Alligator mississippiensis: one gene and its partners. The protein of the gene in region 3 interacts with the protein of the main gene of each other region in a pairwise test. Links are inferred from orthologs where the notes say so. Each region holds a gene or a part of one and is shown on either strand. Other genes may lie near its edges. The genes, in order: HOXC4, PKM, HTT and TCERG1.

Evidence for each region.
Region 1: the proteins of HTT (region 3) and HOXC4 interact in binary tests that used the Homo sapiens proteins (3 or more experiments, as listed by UniProt). The link is inferred for Alligator mississippiensis from reciprocal best matches to the Homo sapiens genes HTT and HOXC4.
Region 2: the proteins of HTT (region 3) and PKM interact in binary tests that used the Homo sapiens proteins (3 or more experiments, as listed by UniProt). The link is inferred for Alligator mississippiensis from reciprocal best matches to the Homo sapiens genes HTT and PKM.
Region 4: the proteins of HTT (region 3) and TCERG1 interact in binary tests that used the Homo sapiens proteins (3 or more experiments, as listed by UniProt). The link is inferred for Alligator mississippiensis from reciprocal best matches to the Homo sapiens genes HTT and TCERG1.

Annotation. Positions count from the first base shown.
Region 1 is NC_081838.1:8,231,761-8,238,764, reverse strand, and holds the start of HOXC4 (homeobox protein Hox-C4), read left to right. Parts: upstream 1-3,994; 5' UTR 3,995-4,499; intron 4,500-6,946; exon of another isoform or gene 6,947-7,004. UniProt on the Homo sapiens protein: Sequence-specific transcription factor which is part of a developmental regulatory system that provides cells with specific positional identities on the anterior-posterior axis.
Region 2 is NC_081834.1:45,149,302-45,156,828, reverse strand, and holds the start of PKM (pyruvate kinase PKM), read right to left. Parts: upstream 3,016-7,527; 5' UTR 2,909-3,015; intron 1-2,908. UniProt on the Homo sapiens protein: Catalyzes the final rate-limiting step of glycolysis by mediating the transfer of a phosphoryl group from phosphoenolpyruvate (PEP) to ADP, generating ATP.
Region 3 is NC_081825.1:21,137,666-21,145,258, forward strand, and holds the start of HTT (huntingtin), read left to right. Parts: upstream 1-4,575; 5' UTR 4,576-4,654; coding exon 4,655-4,755; intron 4,756-7,593.
Region 4 is NC_081832.1:64,410,112-64,417,545, forward strand, and holds the start of TCERG1 (transcription elongation regulator 1), read right to left. Parts: upstream 3,008-7,434; 5' UTR 2,986-3,007; coding exon 2,900-2,985; intron 2,437-2,899; exon of another isoform or gene 2,325-2,436; intron 1,723-2,324; coding exon 1,497-1,722; intron 1-1,496. UniProt on the Homo sapiens protein: Transcription factor that binds RNA polymerase II and inhibits the elongation of transcripts from target promoters. Regulates transcription elongation in a TATA box-dependent manner.

The DNA of each region.
Region 1 (7,004 bases), on a different chromosome or scaffold from region 3:
GCTTGCCACTAACCCCACCGCGGTGCCTTCAGTTCTCTTGGAGAGTTGGAATAACTAAGACATTGCAAATATTTCCCTTGCGCTCGTCTTCCTTTCGCTCAGCGATGGAGATGGGGCTGTGAAATCTTTCCATCTCTTGTTTTCCCCTCTCCCTGCTCTAAATGGACTACATCATATAGGGCAAGAGGAAATAAAAGTAGACGGGTTGTTTACCCAGATAGGAGAGATAAGCAAGCACAAAATTCCTAGGATGCATTGATTCACTGCACAGCGTCTGGGGTTTGCGTGGGACATTCCTAACCCAAAACACGAAGCTTAAAGGATTTAAATGCCTCGGTGATGGGCAAGGCTGGACACTGCTCAGATCCCCAGCAAGAGGCAGGGCTCGGCTGCGGGTTTCATCCCGTATTAAAGCATGACTTCAATGTGGACCCGTGCGCTTACCCAGCCTCCCCTCTCCCCTCTGGTGCCTGTGAATGTGCGACACGGCGTGTGTGGGGCTAGACCCGTGTGCCAGGGTGTCTGCAGGTTCAAGAGAGCACCACACACAAGGTGTGTGTCCATGCGGGGCGAAGGAGTGCGTGCTTGCTTGCAGGGTGTGCGGGCAAGGGAAGTGTGTCTGTCTGTCTGCAGGCATCTGATCCCTGCATCCCAGCATGCACACACCTCCGAGCCCTGGAACCGCACACAACACACGCAACACGGCTGTACCGCACACCCAACCGTTTCTAGTCGGCTGCTTATTGTAGGGCAAACAGACGTGCTTATCAACTCGTTTTCTCCTTGGAAGAGCTACAGAAATAAAATAAGGCTCGCTATAGCCTTCGCTCTTGCCAAAGTAGCCACTTAAGGTAGGCTGGTTTATTAGCCATAAGCCAGACGGGTTTATTTGAACTGAGGTATCATCTTCAGGGTTATTCTTCTGGCATTTACAACCCGGTAGTTATCTTCCCCTTGCTACAGTGCAAGGCGTCTGTGCACCTCTGCATCAATGTTAGCAGGCAAATTCAAGCGAAGTCCCTCAGGGCTATTTCTAAACTCCTGCCTTTTGGGGAGGGGAAAAAAAAAAGATTTTGATGAAATCTTACATAGGAAATACCCAGATTATTATTATTATTATTTTTGTTCACGGGGATTAGGCAAGAGCGAGAACATATCTCATTTAAAAATAAAATAAAATACAAGAAAACGTTGGCGGCGTTCTCTATCCATCATATTTAAACCCCCGGCTCTAAGTAGTTTGATAGGCACAAATAATACAGAACGACATTTATCTGCGCAAGGGTCTGAAGGGAAATTATTGAAACTACAAGTCAAGCAGTTCCCCCCCTCTTTTTTTTTTTTGGCTAACTGTTTATGGGCTGCAGTCAACACAACAGAGTCGCATCTTCAGCTGCCATCCAGTGATTTTCTCAATCATCCCATCATTTCGAGAGAGAAAAAAGAGGGGGGGGGAGGAGGAAAAAAAAGAGCCATTTTATGAGGGGAAAGTAATTTCAAAGAAGATGCGCTCCTCACAAAGTGGCTTATACCGAAATGATCATCGCTTCGACATTACTGAAATTAGACTCATCTAGCCGCCTGCAGTAAGAAATATCATCCTATTCCACGCTTTTTATTAGCCAATCAAATTTCCTTCGGATCTCCATTTGTGATTTGTGAAAAATATAATTCCGCGAAAAGCTGATCTGCAGCTTATTGCTCATTTTGCCTTAATTTATTATTCTAATCACAGCCGCCGCTCCACGAGAATGCATCCATTAGGCTCAAAAATTCGTTTAGATTTTATACCGGAATATGGGCGCAGATTATATTGGAGAGGCAACGAATTTCTCAGGCGTTATGTGTATATGCATCTTTTGCCAACACCCAACACAGCTCGGAAGGGGGTGGGTACAAATAAGAAAGTTTGAGAAACTTGGGGAAGGGGAGATTTTTTTTCCCCACCTGGCTTCAATTTTTTTCCTCACTTCACCCCATTTCTCCCCCAAAATTGGCTTTTCCTTGAAGAGAAAGGGGAGGGGGGGGGATAACAAGAAAAGAGACCTTTTCTAATATTTCATTCCAGCCCAAGAAGTGGAAAAGCAGCGTTGCATGGGGCTGAGATCCTGTAGAAAGGTCATATTAAAATAATGGGCCGAAAGACTGCTTTGGAAACGGGTCGGGCAGGTTGTGGGGTTGTTGGGGATTTTTTTTTTTCCTCGTTGTTTTTTTTTTTTTCCTTGCAAAAGATAAAATGTCCTGTTCATTTTATGGATTCTTTTCTCTCGTCTGCTGCTTTGGAAAATGGCAAGTCCATTGTGTTCCGGGCGCTGTTGTGCCGCTGGCTCCCCGCTCGTAACTTTTAACTACCTGTTATAAAATTTATTGGTGGTTTGTAAAGTGAATAAAGTAATTTCCCTTCCATCCGGTTGTATTGCAACCTTTGTGTTGTTTGGACAGACAGACACACACGCGTGCGCCCTCCCCCCCACCCCCCGCAACCCCCCTGCCCTTAGCTGAAAATAAGCAAATAAAGGCAAAGCGATGAGAAATACCTGCAGAATTGACCTTTCTCTATAATACGAGAGCAGAGGGGGGAGATATGTGTAGAGCCCTTGAGTCCTACTATTGCGACAAAAATGCGGTGATTTTTTTTTGTGGTAGTCTTATCTCTCCAATCTTTGTCCTGGCTCTTGTGTCTAGCCCTGAAGCGAGTTGAGATGGTCAAAATATTTCAGGGGTGGGGGTGGAGGGGGGGGAAGGAGGAAGAAGTGCAACATTTAATCTGAACTAGCAGATCTAACTAAGAATGCTGGGCGATTTGCAAAGGTTATGGGACTCGTCACATGCTCCTAGCAGGCCTCTACATGACAACATTTTTTTGCCCTAGCACCAAATGTCTGTTTTTCTTATATCGGCTTAACCCCCCAAATCCAAATATCAAAATAAAAAAAAATAATTCCTGATACAAAATATGCACCCCCCCCAAAAAAAAAAACCCACCACCAACCTTGTGCGATAAAGGGATGAGGGCTCACAGACAAGTTCTAGCTAGGATTTCCAGACACGCCGTGATTAAAAATAAAAGAATCCCACCACGCCATCCTATAATTGGGAAGGAATTAATTAATTACACATACACAAAAAAAATACCGCCATAAAAATGAAGGCAAAAAAAATTAAAGGAAATTGCTGGGGAAATACGGCATTAGCTGCTCCCCTTTGGAGGTTAATAATATGATCCTTCCCATATCTTTAGTGTTGAGTTAGAGGGCTCGGTTATGTAGCACAGAGGATATGGAGGAAAACCCGAAGGAAATTGGGGCTCAGCCCCGACATCCAAGCGGACACACCCTTGGTGGAAATTCAAGAAAACCCACAACCCAACTCAGTGGTCTTTATTCCTAGCTCTGCTTGAATTTAACAGGGGTTGATCATTGTATGATGATGATTATTATTATTTCAATTCCCCGCAATATCCCTATTTCCCCTCTTTGCCTCCTTCGTGCTCATTCCACTAAGACACTTAATTAATTAACCAAATGAACACGGCGCATAAGGCCAAATCTCCCTGCCTTAAAAACCCAACAACAACAACAAGTCCGGCTGATCCTTCAACAAGGCAGCTCAGACGTGACGAGGCAACCTCGCTCTTTGAAAATCCCCGATATTAATTTGTTCCCTTTAATGAAACTGGGCGGGGGGGGGGGGACGGGAGAGAGAAGGCTTTTTAAAAAAAAATACTAATATTAAAAAAGAATTGTATAAACATGGCGACAGAGGAGAGCATTTGCACTCGTCACAAAAATGCAATGCATTCCTGGTTGTTTGCAGAAAATTTACAGCTAAGCAATAAAAGTTTACGACTGAATCACAAGTTGGATTGGCCACAGGAAGTCATGTGGACTCCATCCATGAACGTGAACTTTTTATTGTGGTTTCTCTTATGACTCTTTCGCAGTAGTCCTTCCTTTAACAGTCCAAGCAGTGCCAGGGGTAGGATGGTATTTTTCCCCCCTCATTATTAGCATCATTATTATTATTTTTTTTGAGATCTAGATTTTTTTTTTCCTCTCCTTGGGGTTGGAAGTGTTGGTTGCCTTGGGCATTTTGGGATATAATGTGTTTACTGCTGCGTCTCGTGCTTGCTTCCTTTTCTCAACCCCTAGGGGCAAAACGCAGTATATTTCCTTTGGACGATGCAGTGAACAGGGGCAGAAGGAGTTGTAAATACCGTTTTTTTTTCCCTTTTTTTTTCTTTTTTAGGGAAAAAAACCCCATGCTATGCCTTGCTAAGCTCCCCCCATCCCCTGTCCAAGCAGAGAAGAAACTGTTTCGCTTTGGTTTCCATCTTTCTTATTTTTTTATATGATTATTATGATTATTTTTCCTTTTTTTTAAAAAAAAATGTTTCTGTGGAGCTGAGCTGCAGCGTCAGTGGATCAGAAAGAGAGAGAGAGAGAAAGAGAGAGAGAGAGACAGAGAGAGACAGGGAGAGGGGGAGACAGGCAACGTTGGTAAGTGTTCCCTTATTGGCTAAAATGTGTAACTAATGATCCATAGCAATGGGTGTTAAAGATAATGATGCATCGGGGTTTTTTTTTTTTGCGAGCGAGGGGTGTAGCTTGGATATGGTAGACTTGTGCTGGGCTTCGGCACCAATGCAGTTAATTCGGGGGAAGAGGGGCTTGCTCCTGCTGATGTCACATTTGTGCCGATCTGGTTTGCTGGAGACAGCCAGGGATGCTTGCTGCAGCCTGCTTTTGCATTGACAATGGTGCAGTGTTCACGGGGGTGGCGGGGGGTGTGTGTGGGGAGAGGGGAGGGGGTGTTGCTGGAAGGCCTCAGATGCATCCGATGGACCATCTACTAGTTAAAATTAAAGGGGGGGGGGATTGCAAGATGGGTGTTGGGTGGGGGAGGGAATAAGAGGGGGGTGGGCAGAGAGGGCAGGGGCCAGCTGTGGATTGCAAGCCCTAAGCACCAGAGCCAATACCTCCATATAGTTCTCTATATAAAAGAATCCCCAAACTTTTCATAAGAGGAAATCAGGGGGTGTCTACTGAGCACACATGCGCAGTGCGGGCCGCGAGCCGCATCCAGGAAGCGTCCTAGCAGCCGCCGTCTCACTCAAGCGGTTTGTGCCATTTTTAATGAGCAATTATGGCGGGGGGGGGGGGATGTGTGAGTGTGTGTGCGTGCAACAAACACGGCCTTGCACGCCCAGCCCCCACTGCCTCCAGCACATGATTTAAGGCCAGGTTCGTCTGCCTGGTTTTATTCCGAATTTCTTCCCACCCCCCACCACCAAAAAAAAAAAAAAAAAGAAGAAGAAAACACCCATCCTGTGCTCACCCTCCCATCCGTACCTCCACTCACACCCGGCGGCTGGGCTGGGAGCTTCCCACGAACCCGGTTCTTCTCCCCCTATTGTGCTCCTGGCCCTCGGCAGGAGATTGCAAACCTTTTCTCCCGGCTCTGCTCCCTATGGACACAAGTTGCAGGCATCTTTTTACATGAGGGTGCTCCTGCTAATTCCACCTGGGTTTCCCATGATGTTGACCCCCTAGAGTTTTATTCAGCATCTATTTCCCCCTTGTCTTTGAATACCTTTTCCTCCTGAAGGACCTTTAGTGAGTGCAATGGAAAGGAGACTTTCTTCTTACACACGCACAGACACATCTCTATCTATCTATCTATCTATCTATCTATCTATCTATCTATCTATCTATCTATCTATCTATCTATCTATCTATCTATCTCTAGATACCTACCATCTCTAGCTCTCTATATCAGCTCTCCATATATCTCTAGCTCTCTATATATCAGGCTGTCCACACTACTATAGAAAGCGATCCACGTATTGGTTTCACTTAAGGGATGCGCTGTTCTAGCTTAATTTTCTTTTCTCTTCTTTTTTTCCTCCTTCTTATCCCCTCGGCATGCCGGCTTTTCGTGAACTGTGTGTCTGTGTTTGCAGTCGAAACTCCTGTGGCTGGAAGTCACAGTATAAAATGGTGGGCATATAAAATGATACCATAAAGTAAAAGATAAAACAGACGTTGTTGTGACTATGGGCTGGGAAGGGGGGAAGGGTGGCAAAAAAAATTGCTGGTCCCTGCCTTCTTATAAATTATTGAGGGGTCCCAGCTATATGAATGCAATATATGGATTGATCGCCTTATCGAAAGGACCTCTCAAGCTGATTGAGTTCAGGCTTAAACCGTGCAACGGAGGGATACTTTCTGCTTTCCTGGGTTACAAAAAAATACGGCCTCTTCTGTCCTTTAATTTCCAGTGGGAACTCGCCAGAGGTTATCTAAAGTGATCTGAGTGGTTTAGAAGTTCCCTGGGACTGATTCTTAATTTGATTTCTCTGTGTGGCGTGGAAAAAAATAACTATTAAAAAAAAAAAAAAAGGAGAGGAAGAACTTGCTAGGGTTCAAAAAGGGACATGTGCTTCTATCCTTTGTCTTAAAGGTTGTTTTGAGAAATATTGTTAAATCCACCTGATCATTCCTGCCGTGTATTATTATTATTGTTGTTATTATTACTATTATTACTACTACTACCATCGTCATCACTATCATTATTGTTACTACTACTATTATTATTGCTGCTATTCATGTTAGTATTATGTTATTATTATTATTACTGCTATTACTATTATGATTCGAAAAATTGCCGGCGTCTTCGGTTCATGCAAGAGCCATGCGACCTGGTAAATTGAAAACAGTTGCTTTCTAATGAATGGGGGAAAAAAAAGAGGCGAGTTTTATTTGGCGTCTTTCGAGGGGGCAATTTCTGGCAGGCTCATTCCTGAGATGATTTTATTTCTTTAAAGGAGAGCACGAGTGTATCCTGAGCTGGGGGTGGGAAGCCAGGGAGACAACTCTGCCTTGGTTTTGTTTCTGCAAACACGATGGGAGACTGTTTGCTGCGATCTCTGAAGTCGTAAAGACAGTTTATGGGCAAACAATGAGCGTTTATTGGAACCACATGATTACAGAAATAGGATCCTT
Region 2 (7,527 bases), on a different chromosome or scaffold from region 3:
AGCTCAGAACTGGTATGTAAGGAATAAAAGGCAAGAGTGAGAGGAGCTTGTTCTACATTTGAGAAGCTCAGTCTCTCATCTGTGGTAAGTTTAATATCAAGGCACATAAGGCCAAGAACTAGCTGTTTAGATTAACATCTAAGGGACTGTGTCAGTTTTACATCTGTTCCAAGGAAAAGTTGACTTATTTTAACTACAACTCACATTTTGCTGTTTGTCCCCTGAACCAATGCCTCAAGTAGAAAGATTCAGCAACTCCTTTTCTGGGAAGCAGAACAGGATTTTCTGCTTCCCTATGGTTTTTGTATGCGATACCCTGCACTGTTATGTAACTAGGCAAAATGGCTCCCATTTTCCAAGCAATTTCTTTTCTGTGATATTGGGCATGTTCCAGGAATCACCACCTGTCACTTCAGCTGAAGTATTAAAGCACCTGACCCAAATGACAATTGCAGACACGCACTCTCTCTCTTCAATTATACATTTGCTGCCTGTCTTTGTGATGCTAATGTTCCTCTGACTTTCAGAGGAAAAAGTTAACAGGATTGAAAAAGGTCATGTTGGAACAGCTGTACTGCATGACATCAGCACTTTCCCTGGATGAGCAAGGATTAGCTGCCAGATCAACATATGACCCAGCTCAACTTGCTCCTCCCAGAGAGGGTCAAGTCCTAGGATGAGCTTAAAACTGAGTTCTCTATAGGCGAGATAACTTTATCAGATCAACACAGGTGAGGGCCAATAACCTATCCAGAAAAAGAGGAGTATTTTTGGTGCAAACAAAGGGTCAGTCACTTATCTGTACTGCTTTGATAGCATGTGCAGCTAAAGTTATTTCAGGAAATCTCAAGATCCCACTCCCGTGCTGTCAGTAAACAAGGCTTGTGACCATCCAGAGGGGGCTAGAAACAAGTGTATTTGCAGAGAAAAAGATTCAAAACTAGCCGAGGTTAGAGATGGGTCACAGCCCTGCGCTATTGCAACTGCACTGCCCTCTTGGCTAAAGCCTTCCTGCGCAAGTAATTCAGTGGTGGCAGCCAGTAGGTACTGCAGCTCTCTTTTCTCCTACGTGCTGTTCATCACACCACACTGCAGCTAAACTCAGATGCTTTTCAAGAAGGGGATGGGCTACCCAATCTCCCCTAGGACTAGAAATTGTTTGTCCAAAACCAAAGGACAGGAAAGAGACAGAGCTGCCACATGGCTTGTCCTGACCTTACCTCCTTACAGCTTCACCTAAATGGATTCCTCTTTGGACCTTATGAAGTCAAAACTGCCCCTCTCCCTCTCTGCTGGAAGCAGAGTCTGAATTAGATGATTTACATGAGAAGCATGAGAATGCAATGTGTTCATTTCACTGAGGTTTTGTTATTCGTTAGCAGTTGAGATGCCATGTTCTTCCTTTCAACTGACAACGGATTGGAACAAAATTAGGGGATGCAGCTCCCTCCAATCCTACATTTACTGCAGTGACAGACAGCCTGCACCGTCATTGCCAACTTGCCAGAATTTCTAGCAGATCCTACTTCCAGAAAGATCTTAAAACACGCAGGCCCAAATACGTATGCATTGCGTCATAGCAGAATTACTCCTCTGCTGGGAGAGCAGAGGAATTTGTTGCTATTAACTGGCATCACTGGGAGTACAGGACTGAGAACTAGCTACAGAAATCATCATGGTACACTATGCAGGGATCCTGGTTTTATCTGGTTTAAAAAATGCCCTAACCCCAAATCCACATTTTTCCATGATTTAAAAAGTATATAGATATATACCTATAGTGATGTTTCATTTTAAATCACAGGAAAATGTGGACCTGGAGTTACTTTTTTTTTGTTTTTTTTTTAAAAAAAACAAACCAGAAATTGGGGAATTTTTTAAAATTGGAGAAAACCAGGATCCCTGTATTGGGCATCAAGTCCCACCACGTCTATTCTAGTCTCAAGCAACCTACTAGAAAGGTACGGCTGGGCACGGCCACATAGCTGCCTTGTCTGGGTCTAGGAAATGAGGCAGCCCTCTTCCACGAGGCCTTCGAGCTGGATGAAAGGTAACATTACCCTGCGAGGCCCCTGTCGCACAAATAAAGGCTAGGGAGCAGCTATTTAAAGGAGCCCAGTTCAGAAGGCAACGAGAAGCCTTTGAGGGATGATGCAGAGATTAACACTCGCACACAGATCTGAAAGCCCAGCCCCGATTTCTGTTACTTTATGCCCCAGGCATCCAGCTATTGAAGACAAACACATTAAAATAAATAAAACAGAAGAGGCGGGGGGAACAAGTCTACTTGTATTAATCTGAGGAGACAGAAGTGAAGCTTCCACTGGATCGCAACAAAAGCGCCATCCATGCACATCCGACTCCGAAAGCAGAGGATCAAGCATGGTTTTCATTTCCCTTGGTGAAGCAGAAGCGAGAGCCGCGGCGTGTCTGCAAGGACAGGCCGGGGGCGGCAGAGGGGCGCCCCTGCACGGTCCCAGCCCAGCAGCATCGCGGGGGGGGGGGGGGGGGGGGGGGGGGGGGGGGAGGCGGTCTGATGCCGTTTCCGACCCGGCCCAGCGGGGCCCGACCCGCGCTTAGTCACCGCAGGGGAAACTAAACCGAAACAAGATGTTGCAACGGAGCCGAGCCCAGCCCCCCCCCCCACGGGGGAACAAACTATTTCCCGCATCCCCCCGCATCTGCGGCGGCGAAAATTAGCATTTTTCTTTTCTGAAGAAAGCTGCGGTGGCCCCGGCCCGGCCCGCTCCGCTCCGCTCCGCCAACAACGCACCCGCGGCTCCCACGTGCGCCGGCCGCCCGCCTGCCCAGGGAAGCGGGGCACCCTGCGGCCCGGCCCGGCTCAGACAGTGGGAGCTGTTGCTGCTGCCGGCGACGCGGCGCGGAGGGGGGGGGGGGGGGGAGTTACCTGCAGCTCTCACCCGCGTCTGTCCCCTCCGAGCGTCGCCGCTTCTCTGCGCCCGGTCCCTCCCCGCGCCCGCCTCAAGGTGATGTCGGCCCCGCGGCCGCCGCACCGCCCCGCGGATCCCTCCGCCGCTCGGGGGACAGCGCCGCGCCGCACTTCTTTTCTCTCCCCTCAGCGGAAGCACAAGATGCGGAGTTGCGAGGAAGTGATGCGTCTCCACGCGAGCGGGCAGGCGGCCAATAGGGAGGCGGCGGGCACGCGGGCGGGGAGTGACAGGGGCAATTAAAGGGGCCGCGCCCGTTATAGCTCGCGGCGGTCGGAGTCGCAGCCACAGCGCCGGGTCTTAAAGGAGCAGCAGCTTCTTAAAGGGGCCGCGTTCCCCACCCCCTTTCTCTATCCCCGCACCAAGGGTTTTCAGGGAGCGCTCCGTCCAGGGCCCCACACCCGTAGGGCCGGGCTCTCCCCCTCACAGCACGTATCACCCGGCAGCCTCCTTGGGAACCGCATCCTTTTCAAGGCTGCGTGCTTCAGTGCCTCTTAAAGGGACAGGACCCGATTGCTGCCCCTTTCCCCTCCCCCATGTGCACAGAGGTCAGGCTGCCCAACAGGGGACCTTTGCTGAATACCTCCTCCCCCTGCCTTTCAGGGCCCTGAAACCCTGGGACAAAGGGTCTTCTGTTTCCCATTGTTCCTTTTCTCCCATTTGGGTCCTTCTTTGCCTCCCGCCTTTTGCAGCAGGGCTCCCAGGGAGCTGCTGGGGAGATTGATGCGTCCAGGGAGCAAAGTGCCACAGAGATCCCAGCAGGTCAAGTGACGAAGGGAAGAGAGACCTGGCTCAGGACTACAGGTCGTAGCCGTGTTGGCCTCAGGACATAGGCAGACAGGGTTCTTTGGGTAAATAAATCCAAATATCTTTTATTAGACCAACTCAAATAGTTGGGAAAAGCCTTCCTTGCAAGCTTTTGGGTACAAACACCCTTTGCCAGGCAGAGGAAGTGGCTGCAGTTGTTTTCTGCTCCGGATGCTGGATTCTGGCTTCTGTCCCATCCAGGAAGAGCACAAAACAACCGCAGATGCTCCCTCAGTCTGTCGAAGGATGTTTGTACCCAAAAGCTGGCAGAGAAGAATTTTTCCAACTATTTGAGTTGGTCTAATAAAAGATATCACATTTATCCGAAAAGCCTGGCTTGCTGAGAGACCTGGCTGGCGTGCAGCTGGCTTGCACACAGCTTGAGGGCCCAGGTTACCAGGCCCTTTTTCCACTTCCCTGGAGGCTAGTTCAGGACTGCCCAAAAGGTCAGGCAGTCACCTTTCACCACGCTGTGCAGACTCCCCCCAGAGATGGAGGATCTGGCAGGGTCGGATCCAGGGTGGGGGATTCCTGCTCCACCCCAACTTCAAAACCACCTGCCTGGGAGAGGCAGCCGCATTTCTATTCAGGCAGCACTGAAGGAGCCCACTTTAAATGAAATAATATAGTGCTAGCCCCCCTAGCCTATTAGTAGCATCTCTAGTTTCTCTTTAACTAGAGAAAAACGTGCATTGTGTCATATGGGATGATGTATCGCATCATCTGCTCCCCCTTTCTCAAAATCCTAATCTGCCCACAGGAGCTTAGCTTTGAGTTGTTGGGACTGCCAGATGCCCCCTCCCCCACGAAGCGGCCCATCACTCAGCTGCCTGTATCCGGGATGTCAGATGTCCTGCATGGGCTGAGGCTCCCTCATAGCTGCTGGTGTTGAAAGGGGGGTGGAGGGTGTTGCAGATTAGCAACCTCCAAGAAGGAGCTAGTATGATGGAGCAGCAGCTTGTGACTAGTCTGCCGTGGTTTTAAGGTCACATTGTCTCTTCTTTCAGCTGGAAATAATTGATGTACCTTGGTGAATAATGTAGCATGCCTGCTTTCTTCTGTATCAGCCTGCATTCCTCCTGTCCTCACATATTCATCAGGCTGGAATCTTGAAATGTTACACTGAGAAACATTTTGAAAGCAAAACAACAGAGGTTTTTATTTTTAAGCAATGTAGAGGCTTTTAGGTACAATTAAAGGTGGCATGAATCACTCTCCAGCACAGGGGCTTATAGATGCCGAAGGACCAGGGATAACAGCCAGCGCACCAAAATCAGGAAAGTGATATATAGCTCACTTAGACTCAGATTTCCATTTCTGCTCCTAGCTCCAGCTGAAATCAAATAGGCCTAATAATTCGGGGCCTTAATACCTTTGAGGATCTGGGTCTTACTGTTTATGTTGCTTTAATAACAATGCCAGCTTTTATATGAAGCCCCTCAATCATATAGACCTCTAGATGCCTTTCAAAGGGAATCAGTATAATTTTTCTCCATTTACAGATGAGAAAATTGAGGCACAAAGAAGTGGTAAATGACTTGCTCAAAATCACCAGCAAAGTTGACACTACAACCCAGGTCTCTTGAGCACCAGTCTATGAGCTGCTCACACTGGGTCACACTGTCTCTCCCCTCAGCATTTTGAGATTGTCCAGCATGTGCCTAAGCACTGAGGTCTTAGGCCAAAAATAGGAATCTAAACTTAGGATCCTAAATGTGGCCTAATTTTCACAAATGCCAAGCAGCCACTGACTTCAGTGGGATCTGTGGGGTCCTCAGCAGGTCAGTTATTTAGCAACCTAAGGATTGAGTTAAAAATGCAGGGCTCTTACTTTGAAAATCTTGGCCTATATCTCTTACTCGGGGCTACTGTCAACCTTACAGCTGTAGCCAGAACCTGGAATCTAAAATAATGAATCCCTAGTTGACTAAGTAACCTAAACTTCATGCATTATTAGCTAAGGGGTTCAAGTATCAATCAGTTAGGGCTTGAAGGGGCAGGAGAGGGGCGTATAAATGAATGAAATAGGTATATAAACTAATGAATAGTGCAGAGGAGTTGGAAAACATGCTTCTGCTCCCCCTTTGTCATAGTACAAAAACAAGGGGAGAGATAATGAAATGAAGAGAAAGCACATTTCAAATAAATAGAAAGAAATGCTAGAAAATTAACCTGTGATTCAGAGATTCACCCAAATCAAGAACGTAATAGGGGTCAATCAAGGATTAGACTATGAATATGAATATGTTAATAGGCTCTTCCTTCCTCAGCTGGCTGGCTTGCAGGGGGCAGTGGTTTGAGAGAGGTTGGCTAATGAAAAGTGAAAGGACATGTTTCTCTGCGGGCACTGGCCACCTCTGGGGGTGAGAGGCACTGCTGGCTGCACATCTGGCCGGATTTGTAAGGAGTGGTGGTTCAGTCTGTGACCCCCCATGCTGTGCTGTTCTCATCTACAGTGACACCAGCTAGGATATAAATGGATATGAGACAGGAGCCCTTGTGCATCAAGGCATGAGCCAGATGGTGCCTGAGGGGATTCAGAAGGCGTGTCCCCTGTGGACGGCTTATTCCACCATTGTCTAATATTCAGGCTTTGACACAGCTCCTCTTTCTCTGAGAGAAAGCTCCATCTTCACTTTTCTCTGCTTCAGGAAACCTTTCTGAGGACTCTTATCTCCTACTATCTCTTTCTTCCCTGGCTGGTGAAGCATTTGGCCAGACATGGTAGGTGCTGCAACATGATCCCTTCCACCTCCCAGGGAGGAGGGTGGTGGGGACAAGTCACAGGAGCCACTGGAGGGATCTCACCCCAACCGGTTCCCTGTGTGCCCAGCTGCAGGGTTCATAGGTACAGGAGGGCCCTGATTTAACCTCCAAGTTCAGCCTCTCTCAATGGGCCCTGGCTGTGAGGCGCTTGGCAGGGGGCTTTGTGCCGCAGGGATTATGAACCCGCACATCCCCTCAGGCAGAGGAAGCTGAGGGGGAATCTGTGCATGGAGCTGGGCCCAGTGGGGTGGGGCTGTAGGGTTGCAGGTTCCCAGACTTCCTGGCGATGGAGCAGCAGCAACACTTAGCGGAGGAGAAGAGTTCCCATTGGAAAAACCACACCAGCTTATACTCCTCCAAAGGAAAATGATCTGTTCCCACCACTAGCTCCCCATCAACGAAGGGAGAGGAAAGGGGATTGGAGGAGGAGAGGAGAGACAGGAGAAGAGCAGTTCCATGCAGATGCTCATCTGCACATGATGACCAAAGCTGCCTCATGCCCATGACACACAGGCTGTTGAAAATGGGCACAAAATCGACTACAAGCTCCTTTAAGCATGGCTAGGTCTGGAGCAGATTCTGCAGCTACAGGAGGTGGAAGAGGAGATGCTAGATAGCTGTCTGATCTGGCCTGACATTTCCTGCCTACAGAGGAATCTTGGTTCTGACAGAGGCTAGCACCTCTTGTCTGCATCAGAAGCCACCATACAATCAGGAGACTCAGTCTGTGCCTACCACACCTCCAGTTACAATAAGATGCCAGCGCCCTATTGTAAATAAGCATTTAGATTCACTTTTCCTAATGGTATTAGCATGGTATGCACAGACAGAGCCTCCCATTTACACAGATGGTGAGGTCTTCTCTGCCACACCACGCGAGCTAAGCCTGCTGTTGGTTTGATTGTCTGTACAAGGATATAATCACTATCTCCTGGCTGTGTGGGTGCTCTCCTGTCACCCAGAGCTAACAGCCAAGAGGGAAAATCTCCATTCAAAATCCTTTTCC
Region 3 (7,593 bases):
TTTCCCGTTGCAGCTCTACTACTATGCAGAAAAGAAGGCACACAGCAAGGGCAAGAGAGATTCTGGCAGCCTTCAGGGAACAGATATAGGCACCTGTCCTTCGGAGAGGAATTTGGGCTCTAGGTTTCAAGCAAGTGGAACCTTTGCTCAATTCCATCCTTTGCCTGAATGATAGAAGGGGATGGGAGTTCAGCCTTAGGCCAGTACTTAGCGTTTTTTATTGGCTAGCTCTAGGCAGTTGCCTCAAATCCCACCTTGAAGTGTCTTAACTTTCTCTGTGCAGGGAATCCAGGCACCTAACTGCATTCTGTTCTAGAGGCTATGTACCTACAAATTGTGTATTAGGGAGTCTAACTTGTCAGGATTGAAGTTGGACCTAGCCCTACAAGGAACTCTGATACTTCTTTTATTTAACTTAAAATAATCAAATATAGGCTTGACTAAATAAAAAATTTTCCATAGCTGAGGGGATACTCTGGAGCATCCATGTCAGGGAAGACAGCAAAGCTGAATTTGTATGGAACCAAAATCTATTTAAAAAAATCTTGTGTTAGTAATTGGAGCTTATGCTGCAGCTTTTCTCCAAACGAATGACAACAGCTGGCATAGCACTTATTCAATAAACAGAAATCAGTGATGTGAAAACAGGATGTACAGAAGTAAGAAAACAGAAGTGTAGGATTTACTGTGCAGTTACTTTTGCACTAAATAGGTCACATTTGTTCCTTTGCTACTTTTCGAAAAACATGTGCCTGAGTTGTCAGAGTTTTTAATTACACAGGGAAAATATTCCTTCCTTGTTTTAACTAATCTAACTTGTATAATGGGGGAGTTGCGATTAAACATATTCTAGCACCAGTTTTAAAACCAGCAGTTGTAACTGTATGGAAAATTCATTGCAATACCACATTGATTTTTTTTTTAATTGGATGGGCACTGACAGACATATTGACTTAAAAAAACAGCTTTATAATAGTAAGCTGTAAATTTAGCAGTAATTAATTTTGAATAGCAGAAGAAAATACCCTGGGATGTGGCACATCAGGCATGAGAGAGGAGTCCTTCCTTCTGGGAAATCAAAGTATTTGGAACATGTTTTATGGTCAAATAGGACAAGATATGAAGAGGTTATTCTAATTCAGTGAATGCTATACAAGTAAAGAGGAAGTCCATATAAACATAAAACATCATGCTGGTATTTAGTGCAGTAATATAGGTACAAAATAAATTTAGTTTGACTTTGACCTATACCTGCCTCAAAACAAGGGACTGGAAAACAGGAAAAAATGGGACCTCTTCCAGATTAAATTATTCACTTTGACAAGAATTGATGATGCGTTGCCAACTTTCAGCATAGCTTCCTGTAAAAATGTCTCCATTTACCCTGGTCAATGCCTTTGTTCTGCAATAAATGCATAGGGAGAAAGGAAGAGTAGGGAGGTGTTTGGCTTTTCCATTTTGATAAAGTAAGAATCAAGCAGCAATAGCGGTTGGCAAGCAAGTGTGTATTAAGTGCAGTTGCTGGAAATGGGTATAATCTGTTCTGTAAAACTATACTGAGTACTGATAGTACAGCAGTATTTGGCAAGTGTAATTTGCACTGTGTGTATAATGTATGAAATACATACTTCGGCCTGATAGTGGCTTCCGAAGATCTCTTGATTAATACATCCAATACCAGCCTTTGTCCATTCCAAGGAAAAAGCTACTTTTAGGACTTGTTTTTATGAGTTTATACATCGTTAGCTCTGTCGCTCAAGGGAAACGATAAGCATCCCTTCCACATCCTACATTACTGAGTTGAGCTTTTTAGTTTAATTGAATATACCCCTTCCCCTGACAAAAATGCGTCTTTGCCTTGCTTTGTACAATGTCTGTGAGTGAGAAGTACAGTCTGGTCTTCTGCTTCAAAGGGCAGGAGATACTGCTTGGCTGCTGCCATGTCCCACAGGAGAGGGCATGATTATTGCTTTGGCAATGCCCATCCACTCTGCTCTGCTGGTCCAAACATAATGAGTGGGGTGTACCCAGCCCTTGCTTTTAAGAAAGCATGAAAGCCAGGCCTACTGAAAATGGGCATAAAAATGAAAGGAGGGGTAGGCTGGGGGAGAGCTCCATTGGACTTCTACTTCAGGGTGTCTCCTGACATGGGCAACTGAAGCCCAGTGATCCTGTTGACTTGTTGTGGAGGGTCTGTGCATTAGTTGTGTGTGCATTTTTTTACATACAAGTTTTAAGTAAACGGGTTTAGAAATGGATTTGCATGTTGAGTTTCAAATGTATATTCTTTGTACATGTATGCAGTAAACACCCCCGCAGGGCTGGTGAAGTGGGGATGTGCTTGTCAGAAGCTGTAAGTGGCACCCCAGCAGTCTGGTTGGTTCTCTCACTTGGGTTACTTCAGCTTGTCCCCCTTGGAGGTTTGATGCTCTGTGCCATCCCACCCCTGGGTAACTGCCTTCACTTCTGTGGGGGAGTCCTGAACACCCTTTTTTGCTGTGCTGGGTGTGTCACTATGTTTCACCTCCCGGATGCTCTGATCCTAGAAATAGCTCGATCTGAATGAGAGAAGCAAATCAAGAGCAGTGAATTGTGAGGCACAGTTTCAAGGGAGTCGAGATACCCAGGCCAGCGATGGCACCTGATGGTAGTAAGTCATGACCCTAGGAAAGAACAATGGTCACGAATCATGACTCTGTTTCCTTACTCCCTACTGAATAGGTCAAGAGCTCCTTATCTTAGAAGGAGGAGTGGGAATTCAGACACTTGAACCTGAAGGGTATAAGACTCCCCCAGACAAAGGCAGAGGTGGGCGAGCGTGGAGCTTGCCTCACACCCTGGGGGCCCTGGTGTAGCAGAAAGCCCCCTTTTCCTCTTGCCTGCATTTGCTCTCCCCTCTTAGAATATGTTTTTCCTCTTCTACCTTTTCTTCCTTCCTCTTTCTTTCACTTTAAGATAAGGAATTGTGTTTTAAAATTTGTATGTGTGCATTTTGTATCTCCCCTTGTATTTTGGTATTTTTATCTATTTGTGTGCCATGGCATTACTCTTGTAGCTTATATTTTATACTCCTCACCTTTCAACTTTCAACTATAAATGTCTTTAGTAACAATGTTAACAAGGGCAGGAGTCAAACTGTTGCTTCCCTGTATCAGGCTGGCCCCTGAAAGAGCGAGTGAATCAGTGACTGAATGCATAACACAGTAGCAGACAGCAATTAACACCTAGGGAAACCGCAGATCAACCAATGGAAGAAATCAATAGAAGACAATGTAACAACCGGGAAATCTCTAAACTTCACTGTTCAAGGGCTAGAAGCCCTGGTCTGAGTTAATCAACGCCGGGGACCAACTTTTGGGATGAATATCTCCAGATCGACCGCTCCCAGAGCCCTATTCAAAATTAATCAACGGACGCTCCACGAGGGTCAACGACCCGTGGATTGGGCAAACCTGAAAACTGGGAAGTCACCAAAGTCTGCCAAGGACAGGTAAAAAGCAGTGAAAAGTGACCGTTAGGGGCGCCCTCTTGATCTCCAACTTGACCAGCACCTGACCTGTCCAGTCAGAAGGACCAGCCGGCGACCCCCTTCTGGAAGATAACACCACGCTGGAAGAAGCCTCAACGGCAGACTCCAGCGCCTGTGGGATAGCTATACCTGACTCTCGGAGCTTGCTACTGTGGGGGTGTGCATGTGTGCGTGTGGGCATCAGCTCCAAGGCTTATGATTTAACTTCATTACAGTGTTTCAATCCGCCTAATAAACCAGAATTTTAAGGATCCTGAGTTGGACATTTGTAGCCAACACTGGGACCTGGCACCGCGCAATGAGCCGGGTTTCTCTCTGCATGTCCCTGCTCTCGGGGACGCTGCCTGACTGCTAATGCCCCAGTGCGCTGGTGTCTGCTTCCGAGGGAAAAGCAATCAGGACCGTGGTAGAGGTGAAATCTTTTAGATTTTTGCAAAAAACATGATTTAATTGCAAGCTTTGGGGGCGGGGGGGTAAAAGTCTAGTTGCTCTAATAAAAGAGATCTCCTCTACCACAAGTCCTGATTGCTTTTGCCTCCAGACCAAGCCAGCTACAACCTAGATATTCAGAGGAACTTGCTCTGTCTTCTCTGGATAAAACACGAGCTCACACCCCCCGGGACACCCCCATGCCCTACCCCACTGCGACGGGGGCAGCTCGGGGGCGCACCCAACGTGCCAGTCTCCTTTCTAGGAGCTGTGGGGGCTGCTATGAATCAGGTCCCCCCTCTCCCCTCCGCCTGGCTCAGCCGCCGGGCACGAAGCATCGGCACCGCATAGCCAGCAGAGGGCGCCCGCGTGCCGAGTACCCGAGCGGCGCTAGGACCCGCCCACTAGCAGAGCCAAGTGGGCGGAGCGCCCGGAGGGAGCGTGGCTCCGTTCGTCACTGCAGCTCTCAACCAAGCTTGTCATTTCCCTCCCTACCCTGCTAGTGGCGGGGAGGGCGAATCCCGGGTCCTCGATCTTCGTTTCTGATTGGCGGATGAGGCTGTCGCTCCCCCCCCTCCACCCGTTGCCCTCGTGAGCGCCTCCGCGCGGGGCACGACGGGACGTGGCCAAGATGGCGGCGAGGTAACCCGGAGCCATCGCGGCCCCTGCAGCGTCTCGCCCGTTCCTCGCGGCGCCATGGCCACTATGGAGAAGCTGATGAAGGCCTTCGAGTCGCTGCGCTCCTTCCAGCAGCAGCAGGGCCCGGCCACCGTCCCCGAGGAGCCGCTGCACAGGCCGTGAGTGCCGGGTCGGGCCGAGGGACCCCCCGAGGCGGCAGGGAGGCAGCTCCCGCCGGGCCGCGGGCTCCTGCTGCTGCCGCGGAGCCGCTGCCCAGGGAAGCTGTGGGCTTGCCCCTGTCGGCAGAGGCGGTGCGGGCCCTGGCCGGGGCGGTGTCGGCGTCTGCCTTCTGCTACGGGGGCTGCCCCCGCTGGCCGGCTCCCCGTGTCTGAGGGGCTGAGCCTCCCTCAGAGGCGCTGGGTGTTGGCTGCTGCTGGCACCAAACCCGGAGGTTTCTGGCTGGAGGGCCTTGCCCCTCTGCTCGGGGTCAGTCCGGTCGCCACATTTCATGCCAGGGAGAAATTTTTAAGCTATGGTCAGGTTGGTGCAGGCTGAGGGGGTTTTGCTTTCCTTTGCAGGATTTGTTGAGCGATGTCAACAACATCTCATAGAAACAGGACGCTGGCTTCAGCGGCGCTCCTGCTTTACCTGGGGCAGGCTCGGGTGTGTTGTGTCAGGGCTGGCGGTCATCTTAGGCACGGTTTAGATTATGGTTTGAATAGGGATGATCCTGTGTGGGGCAGGGTTGGACTGGATGAGCTCTGAAGGTCCCTTCCGCCCCTGCTTCTGCGTGACTTGACGTCTCTGTTGTTAAGAGCTCAGAAAGACCCTGCAGGGCAGAATGGTTTTTAATGTTGTGGGTTCTTATTCTGGGGTTTCTCTTGTGAACCATGTTTGCGCAGCTAATGGTACTGACGTTGTGTGGCATCCTGTGGCACCCCGAAAGGGTCTCGCAGCACCCCAGAGTGCTGAGGTGCCTTGGTTGAGCTTCGCTGACTCGGTGCGTGGTGTAAAGTGGTGCGCACTTTACATTGGAAGGAGCAGAAGGACGGAGAATATGTAATTTCTGAAGTGGAGGTTTTGGCAGCTTTAGGCATGGAGCCAGTTAGCAGTGGAGCTGGATTCCTGGGCACCAATGCCAAACCCAGACATCAGGCAAGCTGAAGGCAGGGCAGTTTTGCCGCCTTATGGAGTATCCCAAGGAGATTATATATATATATATATATATATATATATATATATATATATAGCACAAGCTTTAGTGAGCCTAAGCTCACGTCAGATCCTCTGAAAGAATCTGCCTAGAGCCTGCATCAGGGAAGCTGACATGGTATACATTGTTTCAAGAGAGTTGTCTTGAATGATCTTTATTTATTTTTCATGTTCTTATGGCAGGGCATGTGAGGAGAGCCGCCTGTGCCTCTGCTATGGAATTATATCCAGCTTTTCTGCATGTGTTGGTGCCTCTTGCTTCTTGGAGGGTAGGCTGAGGCATTTTCATCACTGAACAGCTTTAATACAAGCTTTCTCTTATCCAGTTTAATTGCATGTATCCAGAAAGGTGTTGATAAAGTAGCCTCTTACAGTCCTTCTCCAAAAGAGCTCTGGCTGTGAATTACTGCAAATATGGGCATGAAATACAAAAATAAAAATTTGTCTTGGGAACCTGCAAAATAAACATTGAGAAATCAGACTCTGACCTGTCCTTATCAACTCTGTTGCAATTTAGAATTGGCATAGGAAATTGGTTGTTTTGGGAATCCCCAGGAACTGTATGAGTGAAGTTACAATACAACTGTACTCTAACACTACGAAGGGTTATATTGGTAGTCTTTGCTTTAATTTTTTAAAATGATTTTAATACCCACATCCAGAAAGCTTCAGGCATGTGCTTTAAACTGAACTAGGGATACTAATAAGGGAGAAAAGTCTTATCTTTTTCTGTATGTTTACTTTTCATTTAATAGACTTTTGTGTAAAGTCTTTCACTGCTTTACCTCCTACAACTGTTATTTACAATATGATAAACGATCTTCTCAGTTGTTCAACCGTTCAGTTGTTCAACAATCTAATCCAACAGTCTTCTTAATTGTTGGTTTAAATCTTTCATTTAGAAGGAACAAGGAAGAGAAGGTAACTTGAGAACTAGATGTGGCAAAACTACAAGCTGGCTGGGTGGCTTAGTGACATGTACTTGTTCTTACTGTGAAAAGTTATCACTGTAACTTACAAGACCTTGCTTACTCAATGTCACTGTATAAATTACAACTTCATATTGTAAATAACTTTGAAAATACAGGAATACTATTAGGATGTTGGGAGGCTTGGAATTCAGACAAAATCACTTTGTTTGTAAGAAGTACCTGCATATAGTATAAGATTATAATCCATTTCTGTTGGTTATAGGAGGGAAGCAACTTGTGAATTTGTTTTTCTCTCTCTCAACTTTTCCTTTTAAACATTATCAAGCTATTTACAAACTCTCTTATTTTTTTTAACTGCCACTTCTGTCTTGGAAGAATGCAAATACTGAGGGTCAACTATACTTAAATACTTTAATAAAATTCCATCTGAATGCTGCTGGGTTTTTTTTTTAATGCGGGAGGAGCAAGAGAGAACTTTTTAAAGCATTCCTTTGTGCCATCTTCAACTTGGATGTTGTTTAGTCACAAAACAGCAACCTGACTAGACATAAAAGTGAAACTACTAGTTTCTTGATTACTAATTTTGAAAATTACATTTAATAATAATATTAGTTTTGTAAGACGAGCGTTACCTAAAAGAACCACATTCTGTTGTATGGACAAATAAATATTTTTAGAAGTAGCTTTGGTAAAAGTTGTGACAGCATGGTGAACTTTCAGCATTTAGCACGTCCTCCTGAGGATATGGGCAAACTGTTCAGTTTGAAGTGAGTTAGAGGGGCAGGTGGGTGGGAGGGAAGAGGAGGATTTATTAGGGAGTAGGTGACTGCTCTACTCCACCTGAAGAGGACCCGCATGATGAGACTCTACACA
Region 4 (7,434 bases), on a different chromosome or scaffold from region 3:
GTTGGTCAAAAAGTTCCTCAGGCCTAATCGTCCAATGTAAACGAATTGTAACATTTTCAGATTCTTGGGGCTTTTCTGGTGCATGCTTTGGAAGTATGGGCAAAAGGGTTAGGATCAAAACAGGGAGCGGGAACAACAGCTGTGGGAGCAATGTCAAAAGCGTGGAGGCAGTTTCTTTGCCAACCTTTGCCTCTTCAGGCTGTGCTCCGGCACTGCTACTGAGGGACAAGCAAACCCTTAAACAGTAACTATTATAAGTTCAATATCCTAAAGATCACTTATAATTTGGATATACAAGGACAGTAATCAGAGCTCTGTCAAAGAGCAGTGTTTCCATAGAATTATCTTCCCTATAAACCCTCAATGATTAAGGGGTCACCCTCAAAAGGACCTTTACTCTCTAGGAGCTCAGCTCTGTGAAAAGGAATGACAGCTGGGCCCCTTTCCTTCTAGTGACTTTTCTTCCTCACAAGCCTGTCAAGCCATCTCTCTCTCCTTCTTCCTCCTCCCTCAAACATATACCCACGTATCCTCCCTATAGCTTCTGCACCAGACCATGGGAGGGCCCTTTCCCTCCACTGCTCCCTAATCAACAATAAGAGCCCAAAACTGCCCACCTTCTTCTGCTGCCACCAACAATGGGGAGGGAGAAGAGAAAAAAAAAAGGCCTTAGGCCGACCTCCTTTTCCACCTCAAGAAAGTTCCAACAAGGCAAACTTGATCCCTCAACATCTGCATCACATCACAACCGTTCCAACCAAGCTCTTCACCCTTAAATACAGCAACACCACACACTGGCTGCAGCTGCAGTGCATACTGGAATTTATCTTTGTCAAACATGAGCAATAAATATCACTCACATCTCTTACTAAGCCACTCTTACTGACCCCTTCCAAGTGGCTGTGCAGGCTACGTAACAGAAAGGCAGAGAAGACACCTTAGCTGTGTAATGCTTGGTTTTCAGTAATTCTGAGCATGGCTGTACCATGCCAATGTTTTTGGAAGGGTATGATGCACTGCAAGACAACCACAACTCTGCACTGGCCAAGAGTCTCTATTAATGATTTTTTATGTGATTTTATTAGGTTAGTATTGATGACTTATCAAAACAGTGATCTACTATTAACACTTCCGAAACTGATGCAAAATGATTCACCTAACACAGGGGCAGGCAATTATTTTGGGCGAAGGGCCGCTTACTGAGTTTTGGCAAGCCATCGAGGGCCACTTGACAGGCAGCCAGGGGCAGATAAATATTAATTTTCTAAATCTTTTATGGGCCCCGTGGGCCAGACAGAATGGCCTGGCAGGCTGCATCTGGCCCACAGGCTGCATTTTGCCCGCCCCTGATCTAAGAGGACTCTGACCCCCATCTTTTTCAGCATTTATTATTGTCTTCTTCTCTGCTTTAAAGACTTCTGGCTGTTGCTTGCCTTATCACTTCTACCCACATCAAAGCAAAAAGAAAGCAACCTGACCATTCGCAAGCTCTTTACCTGTAAATGTGGAGGCCCCATTGGTGGAGGAATCCCTCCCGGAGGTGGCATTGGAGGCATGTTCGGATCAAACGGAGGACGTCCAAAGGGCGGCCGAGGTGGCGGAGGTGGACCGCGCATCATACCGAAAGGTGGAGGTGGACGCATAAGAGGTGGCGGGCCTCTCATAACGGCATTTGGTGGCGGAGCTGGACCACGAAATCTCAGTGCCTGCTGCTGAGCCATTCTGTGTCAGGGCAGAAGGAAAAAATATATTTTTGTTTGCTGAATAACTATGGGATGGTCTAAAAATCGTGTGCTGCTTGTATAAAAAGTGAAATTAGAAAAACCAAAAGGATGTGACAAATTTAACACTCAGCGACCAGGATTTAAAGTGCAAGTGCTTTAAGAGTTTCCCCACCCTGGTCTCACCATTTCAGGTTCACTACTCTTGTGTATAATTTTCTTTTTTAGTCAGAAAAACAAGTAACATATGGATCGGACGATTTCAGAAGGAGCAGGTGCTGTGCAAGCTTCCCTCAAACCGATCTGCCAAGCACCTCAAACGTGACCTGCTATATACCCATGCCTATAAACACGCGCATCCTGGGCTCTTCGAACAACAGCTGCCAATTGCACCCAGGGTTTTATTTCTTTTGTAACGTGAACAAGCATCCACCAGGGACTCGGACGAGACCACCTACATCCTTTTCACTCGTGACCCAAGGCAGGAGTCAAGCCCTGATGTGAAGCAGCAAAGGGCTGAGGTGCTAAACCCGCGGTGCCACCCAGCCCAGTACGCAGGTACCTTAATAAGTGCACAGATAGAGGAAAAAAAACAACGTTCACCTTTGCAACCAACAAACGCTCTTCTGACGCTCTCAGGAAAACAATTGTGCCCACCATTTAGTGCCAGTGCAATACCGACGTTGGCACGGAGACTCAAAAAAATAAAAATAATCTAAAAAAACCAGAGGTTACAATAAGGCGCACGGCAACACGCACCGATTACACCGCGTCTGATTTCAGTTCGTCGAGCACACACGGTACGTTATCGGACGGACGGCGGTGCTCTCCCCTACCCTGCGGGTCTTTCAGAAGAGGGCAGACGAGCACCTGGCCGGGGCTGTCCCGGCCCAGCGCTTTCTCCCGCCCGGGGCAGGGGGTCGGACTCGATCTACCAAGATCCCTTCCAACCCGAAAAAAATCAATTAAAAGAAACTCTAGCTGAGTGGCGGAGTTGAGGCGATGGCCGGAAGCGGGGCCCGAGGCAGCATCGCCCCAAGCCCCAGCCAGGCCCGGCGGGGGAGGGGGAGAGGGAGGGGAAGGGGGCAGGGCCCGGGAGGCCACCTCCCCCGAGCGCCCAACGGCCGCGGGACCGGGGGGAGGGGGGAGGAGCGCGGAGCCCCTCAACGCGGCGCTACCTGATCTCGTTGTTGTAGCGCTCCGCCGCCGCCGCCGCCGCGTCCCCCTCGCCACCTCCACCCGCGCCGCCGCCGCGCTCCGCCATCGCAACCTCGCCAGCCCCAGCGCCGCCGCCGCCGCCGCGCAGGCCCCACCGCGCTCCCATTGGCTGGCGGAGCCGTCACTCGCCGCGCGCGGGGGCGGGACCGACAGGGATTGGCCCGCGCGCCCGCCGACTTTGAATGAGGGGAGGCCGACGAGCGGTGATTGGCTGAACCCCACCGCCTCACGGCCTCCGCGACCTCGCGTCACGTGGCGGGTGACCTCGGGACGCGGCGGAACTGAGCTCACGTCCCGCGTCAACCAATCCGAGGTAAGGGGAAAGGAAAGAACCCGCGCTCCTCCAGGCCCGGCGACTGGGATTGGAACCAATCAAAGATCAGAAGGCGGCCAATCAAAAACCGGCGTGATCAGGAATTCCTAACCAATCCCGGGAAGGCACGAGTTCCGGGCCGCCGCCCCACCCCCCAGAGCCTGGCCGCCTGCCAGCCCGGCAGGAAACGAAGTTCTAATTCGGTAGCCAATGAGGGGCTGTTTGGATAGGTGCCAGCCAATCAGGCCGCGTTCGGTGATGCTGAGTTCCATCATAAGGCCGGGGTGTTGCGTGGCTCGTGTTTCTACGTTCTAAAGCCTGGGGCTGAGCGGGCGGCGGCACGTGGGTTGGGACCGACCCAGGAGCCGCCTCTGGCTCCTTTCAAGGCACGGCCTGTGCCCTGCCGCATACCCCCCACCCCCATTAGATAGATGGGTGTAATCTATTTTATTTATTTATTGGGAATATATATAAAAAATTCTCCTCCTAAGAGCATAGTGGCCACTAATGTGTTGAAATTTATTCCCAGATTGCAGGGGTTGTCTTTGCCTACATGGGACAGGCACAACTTGGTTAGTTTAGCTGTGTGGTAACAAGTCTTACGAGAAACAAGCTAATAGTTGAGGTAAGGAATGTTGCCTACCATCAATTGAAAGTGATAGGCTGTAGCAAATCCTTGTGCACTGGCATTGCTGAGCCCTGAAAACAGGAATTGTCCAGACAAAATTAGATCTTCAGAGGTGTCAAAAACATCCCTAGACAATTTACTGGGTATTGCGTGAGTTAACTGATCCAGGGCCCCTGGTACTGACATTTTGCCAATAGGAACCAAAAAAGTTGTTAAATATAGCAATGAAATCACCAAGGTGGCAACATTGCCATGCACAACCACTCACTAACTCCACTGGCTGCGTTAGCGTAAGCAGAAGTTTGCCCACACAGCAAGGCGCTATGCTAAAAGTGTCCAACTGGGCAAACTGGAATCCTGTAACTTTCACAATGGGACAACTTATGTGGAAATAAACACTTCCAATTCTCTACAGTCTCGTTCTGAAGAAAGCCTATTTATAAAACAGTTGTTTTTCCCAATATCCATCAGGTCATACTTCTCCCCACCATTTGGCCCCTAATTTTCACTGAGCCAGGCCCTGAGTGACTGGTGTTTTTGTGAGAGTCCAAAACCCCATTATTATATGGCAGAGATTTTCAAAATCGCCTTGAAACATCATTTAAGGTTAGGCTAGTCAAAGATTTTAATAAAGTTAACAATTACAAGAAATATTTAAGTAGAACTGGGCCTTAGCTGCAAACCGGGGATGTATCACTAAAGGTGCAATAGCACCTCGGAGCCTACATCATTAATGAGTCATGGACCAAGAGCTCCTTGTAGGCTTTTTACAAAACTGGTATAAAAAAAGAGACCATCCTTTTTTCCAAAGACCATAAATAAAAGTTTCCTTAAAGTTCTAGGAAATGGGATTACCTAAGACTTCTTTCCAGTTTACCAGCTGGGTCTATTCTGCACTTTGCTTCTGTCCCAGCCAGAGACGGCTTGTCGGTCTGCTAACTTTGGGAAGGGCTCTAACAGAGGGGTGTGGTGGTGAGGGGAGATTGCTTAGGGAAGGGAGAATTTTGAGTCATGACTCCTTCAGATTTTGCTTCAATATCTTTGCCTTTGCTTTTCATGCACAGTATAGATGTCAAAGATGACATGCTACTTTGCTGAAGGTTTATCTGGATACAAAATATACAAGGTTCCTTCCATACAAGCTCTTTGCAATTCTCCTTTCATTCACTAGGAGATCCCCTTGAACAGCAGTAGTGTGAAATGATCTCAAGTTTCAGTCTGTTCAGGTGCTGAAAAACTTCAGGGCCCTGGTTTTGATTTAACATGTATGTTAGGAATCATAATAAATACATTCTTAGAAATATGGTTCCACTTTTATGTCATCCTTCATTTAAAGTTCCCAAATTGCATTATAGATATTAATTAAACCTTGTAATGCCCACGTGAGGTGGATGTTTTTATATCCATTATTAAATTACCTTAACCTTAGGCAGCTTTTACAGCCTGTCTCCACCTTATTACTAAACCAGGCATCAGATCAGGCTTCAGAAGTTTTTCTTGGCAACCATGGATACTAGAAGAATAATTAGAATATTTAAAATCAGAAATGAGAAAGTAAGAGGTGTGTAGGTGGTAACAAATAAGCATGTCATGCTAGGTGTTATCTATTGCTTTTTATATAGACTGAAAATTCCCATGGGACAAAAATCAGTATCCTAGAGAGATGCCTGAACCAAAACTCACTTCATCCAAGTAGCCTTATGCTTTGAGGTGGTCAGATCATCTTGGGCCTATCTGATGTGCAGTAACATTACTGGTGATATAAGTAGCAGAGTGTAGGGATTGCTATGGTAGGCAGTGATAAATGGACTTAACTAGGAATTAAACAGGCAATGTCTCAAATGAGAACATTCAAGAACAAAGACACAACAGTATAGCATCGGAAAATTCTGTGCCAGGGCACAGGCTTTTCACCTCTTGGGGAAACTTGGGTCATTTCAGTGAGGTCTGATGCTTAGAACAGAAGACAATTTAGGCTATAGAAATCCTGCCTTGGTGTGGTGGCTAAAACCCAGCATGTTACCCTGTGTCTACAAGGTCCCTCTTTCCCACTATGTCCTATTTACAGCTCCCAGTCATTTGGATTATTAGGATGTAAGATTCTTTCCTATGTGGCCTGACGTGTAAAATTTCTAACTGGAAAAAATATTTCCCCAGCTCCTTTGATGTTGCTAATGAATGAGCTCTTTTTAAGTTATTCTTATGGCTGATAATTGTACAGTAGCTTCTGGGCAAAAGTGTCAGTAATGTGGGCATGTAGACTGGCCACTAGCATCAAATATTCATGCAGTCACAGATGGGAGTCTACAGTGAGTTTGCACAGAAGTGGAGTCTGTCTCACTTGCTCTTTGGTGAATGTATCTAAGCATCAAAAAGAACTTGTGATTTGCTTTTTCAGCTACATTTTATTAAAATATAAAAAAAGGAAGAAGTCCTTTTGCCAACTGGCATTTTGTGCAGAAATAAGTTAAGCAACTCAGAAAGCAAGCATCAGCCATCCCTCTCATCACACCAGACTGCAACTGGCCTCTGAGTGGATGCATAAAGTTGGAAGAAAGGCTACAAAGAAGTTTGCCTCCTGCCCCTAAATGTTATGGTCCAAGGGCAGGGAACTGCCAGTATTAGAGCCACTGCAGCAGTGCTCCTCTAGCAGTATTAGCTATTCCTACAAGGAACAGAGAGAAGGCAGGGCATGGCCTCTAGGCTGGCTCCACTCTGAGGAGCAAAGCTGGTGGGAATTAAAAATGCATCTTCTTCCTGTGCCTGGTTGCATGGGAGGCATTGCATTCTTAAGTCCAGGGAATTGTTCCTTAGGCTGGGTCTACATTACAGACTTTGTACTAGTATAACTACGTCTGTCAGGGATGTGAAAAAGTATGATGTGGTGACACATGACTGCTGGTAGAAACCCCTTTTTAGCAGTTTAGCCTGTTTTGCTCATGAGAATGGGTTACTGTATGGTTCAAACAGTAGAGCTTCATGCTCATAAGGAGTGCTCATTCAGTTTAGTGTACGGATATTTTCATACCAGTGTGGATTTGGCCTTACTTGGGTCCCTACTTCAGGAGAAAGTGACAGTGTCTGCTGATAACTCATGCTGCAATCTTGCCTGCAGCTTGAATTTCTGCAAATGTATAGCTTCCTCCAGCACCACTTAGTGGCTAAATACAGAATTGCAGATTCCCATAAGGTTGAATGTGGAAATTCTGCCGTGCTGATTGGTTTGTTCTGTCTCCTGATAGCACCTCACTTCCTGAAAGCCAGAAGATGTTAAGGTGCCTTCCTGCCTTCATGGTTACAGTCAAACACACATGAGTTATGTGGGCAAAACATCACAGAGAGACAGGTGAACAGGACTCCTGTGCTAAAGCCAACATAGAATAGGGCAGAAGGCCAATGAAAGACCGTAATAAGATGTTGCACCTCCTTATTCATTGGGGCTTTGAAATTATTAATTGAATGGATGCCACATGGTGTTGTGAAAGAAATTCAATCTAAGTTTTAAGGAATTTTTAATAAAATACCATTTTTGGTACATGACCTTGTCCTCACTT